2 linked regions of the Mus musculus genome follow. The protein of the gene in region 2 binds, or shares a complex with, the protein of the main gene of each other region. Links are inferred from orthologs where the notes say so. Each region holds a gene or a part of one and is shown on either strand. Other genes may lie near its edges. The genes, in order: Eif3k and Eif3g.

Region 1 (4,329 bases), on a different chromosome or scaffold from region 2:
AGAAAGGTGGAAAGTGCTGGACATGGTGCCCCACGCCGTTAGTCTCAAAGCTACCCTGGTCTACATCGTAAGTGGCAGGACTTAACAAAACAAAATGGTGGAAAGCGAGATTGACTGCTCCGAGTTGTCCTTGGACCTCCACACTTAAAACTCACACTCATAAAACAAAACGAATTAAAAAGAATAAAATAAATGTTTATGCCAGGTAGGCATGCCAGCCTGTCTCGAACTCGGTCTCTGAGGTGTGAACAGAGGATCCCAAGAGCAAGCTGGTTAGCAAGACAAGCTGTGTTGGTGGATTCTGGGCTTAATGAGGCCTTGACTCTGAATAAGGTGGAAGAATGACTGGTGCCTGCTATCAACCTCAAGGCTCCACACGCATGTGTGCACACACAGCCCCTACACACACACACACACACACACACACACACACACACACACACACACTCATGAATATGGGCAAAAGAAACAAGGAAAAAGGCTGCCACCAACCCAGGGCCGAGAGGAAGATCTCTGGTGTAGAAAAGCTTGCGCTATGTGATTACAGCGGAGCTCAAAAGAAAGCAGGCCTGGGCTGGTGAGATGGCTCAGTGGGTAAGAGCACCCGACTGCTCTTCTAAAGGTCTGGAGTTCAAATCCCAGCAACCACATGGTGGCTCACAGCCATCTGTAACAAGATCTGACGCCCTCGTCTGGATTGTCTGAAGTCAGCTACAGTGTACTTACATATAATAAATAAATCTTTAAAAAAAAAAAAAAAAAAAGCCCAGCTACTGTTTAAAAAAAAAAAAAAAAAAAAAAAGAAAGCAGGCCTGACCTAAGCTGACTCAAGGGACCCAAGGCTAGGCCATAAGGGCTCAACAGTGATTACCTAAGCTGGGGGGTTGATGGGGCAAAGCATGTGAGCCAAGAGGCAGTGAAACTAACAAAATGAATTTTCATTTACAATAATCTGTCTAGCAACACAACTGTTTATTGACCATCTTGTATGATTTTGGAATGGATTAAAGACAAAAACAGGGCTGGTGAGATGGCTCAGTGGTTAAGAGCACCGACTGCTCTTCCAAAGGTCCTGAGTTCAAATCCCAGCAACCACGTGGTGGCTCACAACCATCCTTAACAAAATCTGATGCCCTCTTCTGGAGTGTCTGAATGTACTTACATATAATAAATAAATAAATAAATAAATAAATAAAATAAAATAAAAAAGACAAAAACAAAACAAAAACTCCTAATCTGACCTTCTAAAACACCGAAGAGAAGTCCCATCTTGCAGCTTGCCCCAGGCCCCTCTGCACCAGGTTCCCTCTCCAGAGTGGCTTCCTGCTAGGCAGCTGTTCGTATGAGGGTGGGGACAGACACTCACAGTTTCAGGACGGCCAGGTTGGCCTCCAGATCATAGGCATTCTCTTTGGCTTGTGTCTCCACATATCGCTCCAGGGTAGCCAAGTTCTCAGGATTGTACCTGGAAGAGCATCAAGATGGGTGAACAGCCTGGCACAGTGGTTACATGCCTTTCATCCCAGCACCTAGGAGGCTGAGGCAGGACAGGAGGATTGCAAGTTTGAAGCTAGTCTGCAATTAATAGTGAAAACCTGTCTCAAAAGGAAAAAGGGAGCCGAGCAGTGGTGGCGCACGCCTTTAGTCCCAGCACTTGGGAGGCAGAGGCAGGCGGATTTCTGAGTTCGAGACCAGCCTAGTCTACAGAGTGAGTTCCAGGACAGCCAGGGCTACACAGAGAAACCCTGTCTCAAAAAACAAACAAACAAACAAACAAAAAAAGGGGGGGGGAAGATAGGGAGATAACTACACAGACAGACATGAGTAAACAAAGAGAAGAACAGAGGCTAGTCCTTAGGGACCACTGTAATTTGTTAACCTGAAATCACTCTCTTCTTCCTACAGCTTTTATTCTGGCCATGGGATATTCCTCACTTTGCTATTTTCTTTTTAAATAAATCTGTAGGAAGCTTTATTACATTCATTCGATCTTAAAATAAATAAGTTAGTCCCACCCACTGGAACTACCCAGATAGCTGATCAATTAACTGTACAACATCCAGTAAATGTTTTTCCTAACATGGGCCTCTAGCTAGCCCTACTTGAGCCCCTGGTCATGTCTAGGATGCCTCCAACCTCAGTCAGTCTCTGCAGCCCGTATGTTTTCCTGAACACCTTCTCTTCGATCCCGTTCTGACCCAGTTCCATCCTCTCCTGCCTATCTCAATACGTGGCTTGACCTGACCAGGCCCTGATCGCTCCTTATTGTCACTATCTGCTGAATGGGGTTGTCGCCAGGATGGAATGGGAACCTAAGTCCAGGAACGCAGGACCGGTTCCCGTTTCCATCACCTCCGGTCCCCACTGGCCAAATAGACATCAGAAAACACTATGTAGGATGGTCCACAAGGACAGAGAAGGAAGAGACTAAAAGACACCGGGAGTCTGTGGCAGCAGAAAAGGTAAAGTTGAGGGACGGAGAGAAACTTGGAGAAACTCCATCTCTGGAGGAGCGTGGAGCCCTGGCCACCCCTGGCTGGCTCCCCGTCTTCTCCACCCCGCTTGGCCAGAGAGCGCCCTTCAGCGGAATTCAGACCTGTCGATACCCTTGAGCAACTTGCCCACGTTCGCTCTCATCTGCTCAAACATCGCCATGATCACTGTTGCCTTCGGCAGCCTCAGCTGGAGTCGAACACCAGGCACGGTGCTTAGCACTAGAGGACCGGAAGAGAGGTGTAGGAAGCGGAACCTGCGTCACACCCTCCCTCCAGCTCCTACAAGGAAGGCAAAGGGAAAGGCGCTTTCAGCACCAGCGCCGGTTGTTTTTTTTTTTTTTTTTTTTTGTCTACCACGTGATTTCCTTCCAGCAGTTGTAACTTGCGCATGCGCAATGAGCTCACTTAAAAGAGACCAATAGCGTGAGAAAAGGTTTAGTCTGCCTTACTACGCAGGCGCCAGGAGGCGGGCTAAGCTTTTCCCGGGCCGCGCAAACTTAGTACTTAAGCTTCTGACGCGCGTGCGCTGGAGTTGTACGGGGAAAGGAGACTTTATTTTCTCTACGCATGCGTAGCCTTAAGCGTTTAGCCCCGTGAAGGGTTGCTGTTTCCTTTTCTTTGAGTTTAGTCGGGTGGGAGATGCTCTCTGAAGCCCTTCTTGTCTCCGACTTGGGTGCCTGAGACAGCATCTTGTATGTATCTTCACTTCCTCGCTGGTCCCCACTCGGTTCCGTACTGCTACAGTGCTGTTAGGAGGCCGGGAAGGCAAAAGACACCTGTAGTCTCCATCGGCTCTGCGTAGGGGCTACTAACAAGTGTTCCACGTCTGCCACAGATTCCCTACACGTTTGAAGCGTTGCACAGACATGTGCCATGCGGGCAGGTGCCCTGAGCTCAGCTGTCACTTAAGTCACATGCATGTGTCACGAGTAAACAGGTCTTCTGTGAAACCTAGCCAGCTTTGTGCAGACCTGCAACCTCTGGCTTGATTCCAGATCTTCAAGAACCCAGCAGAGGTTCAACCGTAACCTATGACTCCTCCCAAAATAGAGTGTTGGGGAGAGGGTGCTAGGTCAGCCCCAGGTTGCATTTAAGAACTTTTGCATCTTATTTACATAGTGTCCTTCAGTGGGTAAAGGGGAGTCCCATGGGTCCCAAGGCGATCAAACTCTCAGAACCCAGGGGACGGGGGTGGAGCCCTCTGTGCAGCCCTCTGCACAGCCCTGCAGCTGGGGCAGGAAGCGAGAGTGGGGAGGGGGAAGGCCACAGCCCACAGAGTCAAGGCGGGCCCAGGACTTGTGTGGAGACAGAAGGTAATACCAAAGCTTGAACCCTGAGGCCCTGTTGGCCCCCTGGGCACTGGCCCAGCCCCGGCCTCCAGGAATGGCCCTTGTGGACCCCGACATTTTTAATAAGGACCCTCGAGAACACTATGATCTACTGCAACGACTGGGTGGTGGAACTTATGGAGAAGTATTCAAGGTGAGAAAGCCCTTCTGTCTCCTCCACCACAACCCTGGGATAGTTGGGGAGAGGCTGGCAAGCAGGAGTGTAAGAGAATGCCAGGCCTTGGCCTTGGTTCAGAGATGCTGAGGATGGCAAGCTATGGAGTCTGCCTGATGACCAACTTCCCCTTTACAAGGCTCGCGACAAGGTGTCTAAGGACCTGGTGGCTTTGAAGATGGTGAAGATGGAGCCTGGTGAGAGCACCCCCAGAAACTTCTTCCCCATCCCCGCCCTTTCCTTCCTGGGATACAGGGACATTTCTGTAAGCCCCCGCTTGTAGCCCACCTTCGCTCTCCGGCCCCTCCCCACAGATGATGACGTCGCCACC
Region 2 (4,268 bases):
GGGAAGAGAAGAGCACACTACCACAGAACAGCTGAGACCCTCCCAGGTCCCCACGTCCACACCTCCTGGCAGTTTCTCCTTCTCCCCAGTAGACAGGCCGAGCTGCTCAGCCAGCTCCTTCTGCATGGGTCCTAGTGTGTCCTTGTAGGGGCAACGGGTGGTCCAATGGTCGCCCTTGCAAATGCGGCAGGACACAATCTTCTGGCCCTTAAGCTTGTTCATTGGGTCCTCCTCCTCCTGACAGTTTAGGTCCTGGTGGGGTATAGGGAGGGAAGGCTCAGAGGAGGCTGCTGGGCCCGGCCCACACCACCCCCACTGCATTTCTCAGGCTCCAGCTTCACCCAGCTCACCTCTTTGCTAGTGATGAATGTCATAGAGACGTCATCACTGACTGTGGTAGTGGCCACATTGGGCCCCGGTGGGTCAAACTCCGAGTTGCCAAACTTCTTCCAATTCTGGGCTCCCAGAAAACAATGGGGAGAAGTGAGGAAAAGACAGGAAGGATCCTGCAGTGGGTACCCCAGACAGACAACCATTCCGGGGCCTTGAATCCGAAGATCTAGTCTCTCTAGAGGCCTTCCCTGTGGTAATGGTGACAATCCCCATTCCCTAAGCTAAACACAGTGGCACACAACTGTCACCCCAACACTTGCCAGGTGCAAACAGGAGGACCTCAAGACACGCAAGCTCAAAACCAGCCTGAGTTATCTGAGGTAGGTGCTGGTAAGGTAGCTCGTGTGAAAACGTGCAGTACACTTTCTAACACTCATATAAAAGGTTAAGTACATGCTGGGCATGGTGGCGCACGCTTTTAATCCCAGCCCTTGGGAGGGAGGCAGAGGCAGGCAGATTTCTGAGTTCGAGGCCAGCCTGGTCTACAGAGTGAGTTCCAGGACAGCTAGGGCTATACAGAGAAACCCTGTCTTGAGAAAAAAAAAAAAAAAAAAGGTTGAGTACAGGGCTCCACTGTGCCGCTGGCAGTTTCTGGGCTGCTCCATGGCCAGCCTCCCACCAGGGACAAAGGAGGAATCACCCAGACCTTAGGAACCGAGCCAGTTAAACCTGAAACTCATTTCCTGCCTGTAAAACAGGGGCCACAAAGCTCCCTGCCTCCCTAAGCTGGCCTGGAGCCTGAGAAGCTGTGTCTTGCTGAACGCTGGCACGGGACCTTGCTCTCAAGCGTCGCTGTCCCTCCTCTACAAGCCCTCCCCCCTAGGTAAGTAGAGGCTGCTTGCTTCTTCATGTAGACAGGTCAAAGGAGAGAGAATGGAGGTCAGGATGCAGGAGGCTGAGGCAGAAGCATTTAGAATGAAGACCAGAGCTAGAGCCTCTCAAAAATAACAAGCCAGCAAATGGTGGCAATGCCTTTAATCCTAATGCATGTGGATCTATGAGTTCAAGGTCAGCCTAGACCACAGAGTGAGTTCAGAACAGCTAGGGCTACACAGAGAAACCCTGTCTGGAAAAACAAACTACAAACAATAAAACCCAAGAGGGCTGGGTATGTCTCAGTACAGTGTCTGTCACACAAGTGTCCGTCAGACTCTGACCCCGAGCACCCACAGTCAAACACTGTGCACAGAGGCAAACTTGCATTCCCGGTGCAGGCCAGACAGGAAGTGGGGACAGCAGGGTCCCTGGGGCTGTTAGTGCCCAGCAAGCCTAGTCTAGTTCCTAATACCGAGAGACCAGCTCAAACCAAAAGTATGCTGTGCCATGTGCTGGGGGGGATGATGCTGCGCACATCCGCACACAAAAGGAGAACAATAAAAAAACAAAAGTAAATGAATAAATAAAGCATCTAACTTCATCTACTCCTGGGCCCTAACCTTTCAAGGCCTAACACTAAACGTTTACTCCACATCAACAAAAAGGGGCTTCCCAACTCCTCAGGATCAGCCCCAGAGAACACCCTACCCCCCAAATGAGGTAGAATCTCACCTTCCTCCTTGCCACAGCCTTTGATGCCTTCCGGGTCTCAATCCTGAAGGTTCTGACAATCTGAAGATGAATAAGAGAGGAGTGCTTCCAGAGCCTCAGGCCCTGTCTCAGCCACTGACACCCCTCCACCTGAACCCCTGAACACAAAGGCACTGGCCCTATGTGTCCACTTCGACCTCACCTTGAATTTCTTCCCATCTTCCTCTATCTTGTACTCAGTCACTGTCTTTATGTTCCCATTGATGACTTCCTTGGGAGGTGGCAGCGGGTCTGGAGGAAGATGACAGAAACTGATTCCCGGGTAATGGGGACTGGCTGGAAAGTAGGCTTGAGAGTCGGAAGGGAAGAGGAAGCAGGCAGGGATGGACACTGCTCACCTCCGGGCAGTAACTCGGGCTCTGGACTGGTGTCCCCGGTGGGCAGAGGGATTCCTTTCAGGAGCTCGCTGGTGACACATTTGTCTGCCAGAGGGAATTCGGGGAGGAAGGTAGAGTGAGCCACGGGACGGGAACTTTCAAGTCAGAGAGAGAGTGTGTGTGTGTGTGTGTTGTGTGTTTGCGGGTTGCACCGGGGGCACAGCGCAGGGCGAGGGTGGGGCTGGCCACGCGCGGCCCTAGCCGGAGCGTGGGCCCCGGGAACAGGCAGCGGGCGCGGCCACGCTCGGCACTCACCGTCCTCTCCCTCCTCCTCCACCTGGTCGGCCCAGCTGGGCTTCGAGCTGCGGGGACAGGAGATTGGTGAGCGGGTCCCGGCCCCCCGCGCCGCCCAGACCCCCACGCACCCCAGAGCAGCCCCCACGCGGCCTCCCCGGCGACCCCATCGCCACCCCACGCATACTCAAAGTCGCCAGTCGGCATCTCGAAGTCTTAACTCCACGCAGCTCCCAGCCCGGGTAAAGACAGGAAGCCGGAGTAGAAGAGGCTTCCGGTGCCGCGGCCGCAGCCTAGAGCGGCCAGACCGCGGTGAGCACAGCGCCTCCCTGCGGACAAAGGTGGACACGCGGCTCTCGCGCACCGCAAAGCGCTGAGATCCAACCTGGAAAAGGGGTCCAAAAAAAAGCTTCAAAGAACTTTTTAAACTTTTTTTTTCCCCCTTTGGGTAATGGGGCTAGACGTGAGTGTCTCACTCTATAGATAGGATAGCCTCACAATCCTGTCTCAACTCCAAAAGGCTGAAAGTACAGGCTCACGAGCAGTATTCCCAGGGTGGCCTTGAATTCATAGCTGTCTTTCCACCTTACTCTCGTCCGTGCTGGGAATATGAACATGAAATCGCCACACCCGGAACTGATTCGTTCTCTCCCTCTTCCCGGAGAATTAGTTTTCAGCCATCAGTAATCGCAGTGCTGGAGGTGGAAGCTGGAAAATTATGAGTTAAAGGCCATTTTCAGCTACCTCGTGGATTCCAGACTAGCCTGCGCTCCATGCGACTCTGTCTCCAAAACTAAAGGTGTCTTGCTTTGTTCCCCAGGCTTGCCCCTGAACTCCTAAACGCAAGGAATTCACAAATAGCTGGGGCTATAATTGTGTGCCAACAAGCTTGGCTGAAAAGCACGTGTATCAAGAATGCCCTCGCCCCACATCGTTTAGAGGATACCAGGATTCTGGTTTGTTGAAGAAGAAACAGACTCAGACCAAACCCTTTTGTCCTGTGCTAAGACGTCCTTTCTTTGAATAAGAGGCCACCTGGTCTCCTGTGCCTCCTTTGCTGTGTAGCATGCTAGGGTTTATCCTACAACCTTGTTGTGCGTTTGTATTATTTGAAGACAGCATGCTTGTGCATACATAGCACACATGGAGGTCAGGGGACACTTTGCAGACAGTCTCTCCTTCCACTATGTGGGTCTTGGGATTGATCTCAGGCCTTCAGGCTTGGCAGCCAGCCTCCTGCTGTGGTCCAGGAGTCCCCTCACAGACCACACGAGCCCCAGTCTCAGTCAGAGAGAGGCACTTTATTGAGCATACATGTCAGGACTGGTTAACCAGGGCCACAGTCCAGATTCAGGACCTGAACTGTGACCCTGACTTAAGATCCTGCAGGGTTTTTAAGCCTCAAATCCACAAACATCTGGGCCAAGTCACATCACCAATCAGGATTCAGAAATGGGGGGTTTACCTGGGAACATGGTTTTGCCTTACACGTATCCTGCTCCCATTGGTTGGGTATTCAACGGTGGCAAGAGACTTTCCTTGTTGAACATTCATGTCTCAATGTGCCAACCAGGTTGTCAGTTACCCACGCACATGTCTTTCTGCCAAGTAGGATGCCAGTTTCCAGGGAGGTCTTGGGAACTTAAACTTTACTCAGTCATTACTCAAAATGGAAGT

The links.
Region 1: Eif3g (region 2) and Eif3k share a complex: the UniProt entries of both Homo sapiens proteins name them as parts of the eukaryotic translation initiation factor 3 (eIF-3) complex. The link is inferred for Mus musculus from reciprocal best matches to the Homo sapiens genes EIF3G and EIF3K.

Annotation. Positions count from the first base shown.
Region 1 is NC_000073.6:28,979,078-28,983,406, forward strand, and holds the start of Eif3k (eukaryotic translation initiation factor 3 subunit K), read right to left. Parts: upstream 2,812-4,329; 5' UTR 2,656-2,811; coding exon 2,597-2,655; intron 1,466-2,596; coding exon 1,367-1,465; exon of another isoform or gene 1,242-1,366; intron 1-1,241. Other genes in the region: Map4k1 (mitogen-activated protein kinase kinase kinase kinase 1), read left to right, coding at 3,879-3,977, 4,138-4,195, 4,313-4,329. UniProt on the Homo sapiens protein: Component of the eukaryotic translation initiation factor 3 (eIF-3) complex, which is required for several steps in the initiation of protein synthesis.
Region 2 is NC_000075.6:20,895,766-20,900,033, forward strand, and holds the start of Eif3g (eukaryotic translation initiation factor 3 subunit G), read right to left. Parts: upstream 2,826-4,268; 5' UTR 2,799-2,825; coding exon 2,779-2,798; intron 2,660-2,778; coding exon 2,613-2,659; intron 2,403-2,612; coding exon 2,319-2,402; intron 2,212-2,318; coding exon 2,123-2,211; intron 2,002-2,122; coding exon 1,942-2,001; intron 456-1,941; coding exon 351-455; intron 253-350; coding exon 63-252; intron 1-62. UniProt on the Homo sapiens protein: RNA-binding component of the eukaryotic translation initiation factor 3 (eIF-3) complex, which is required for several steps in the initiation of protein synthesis.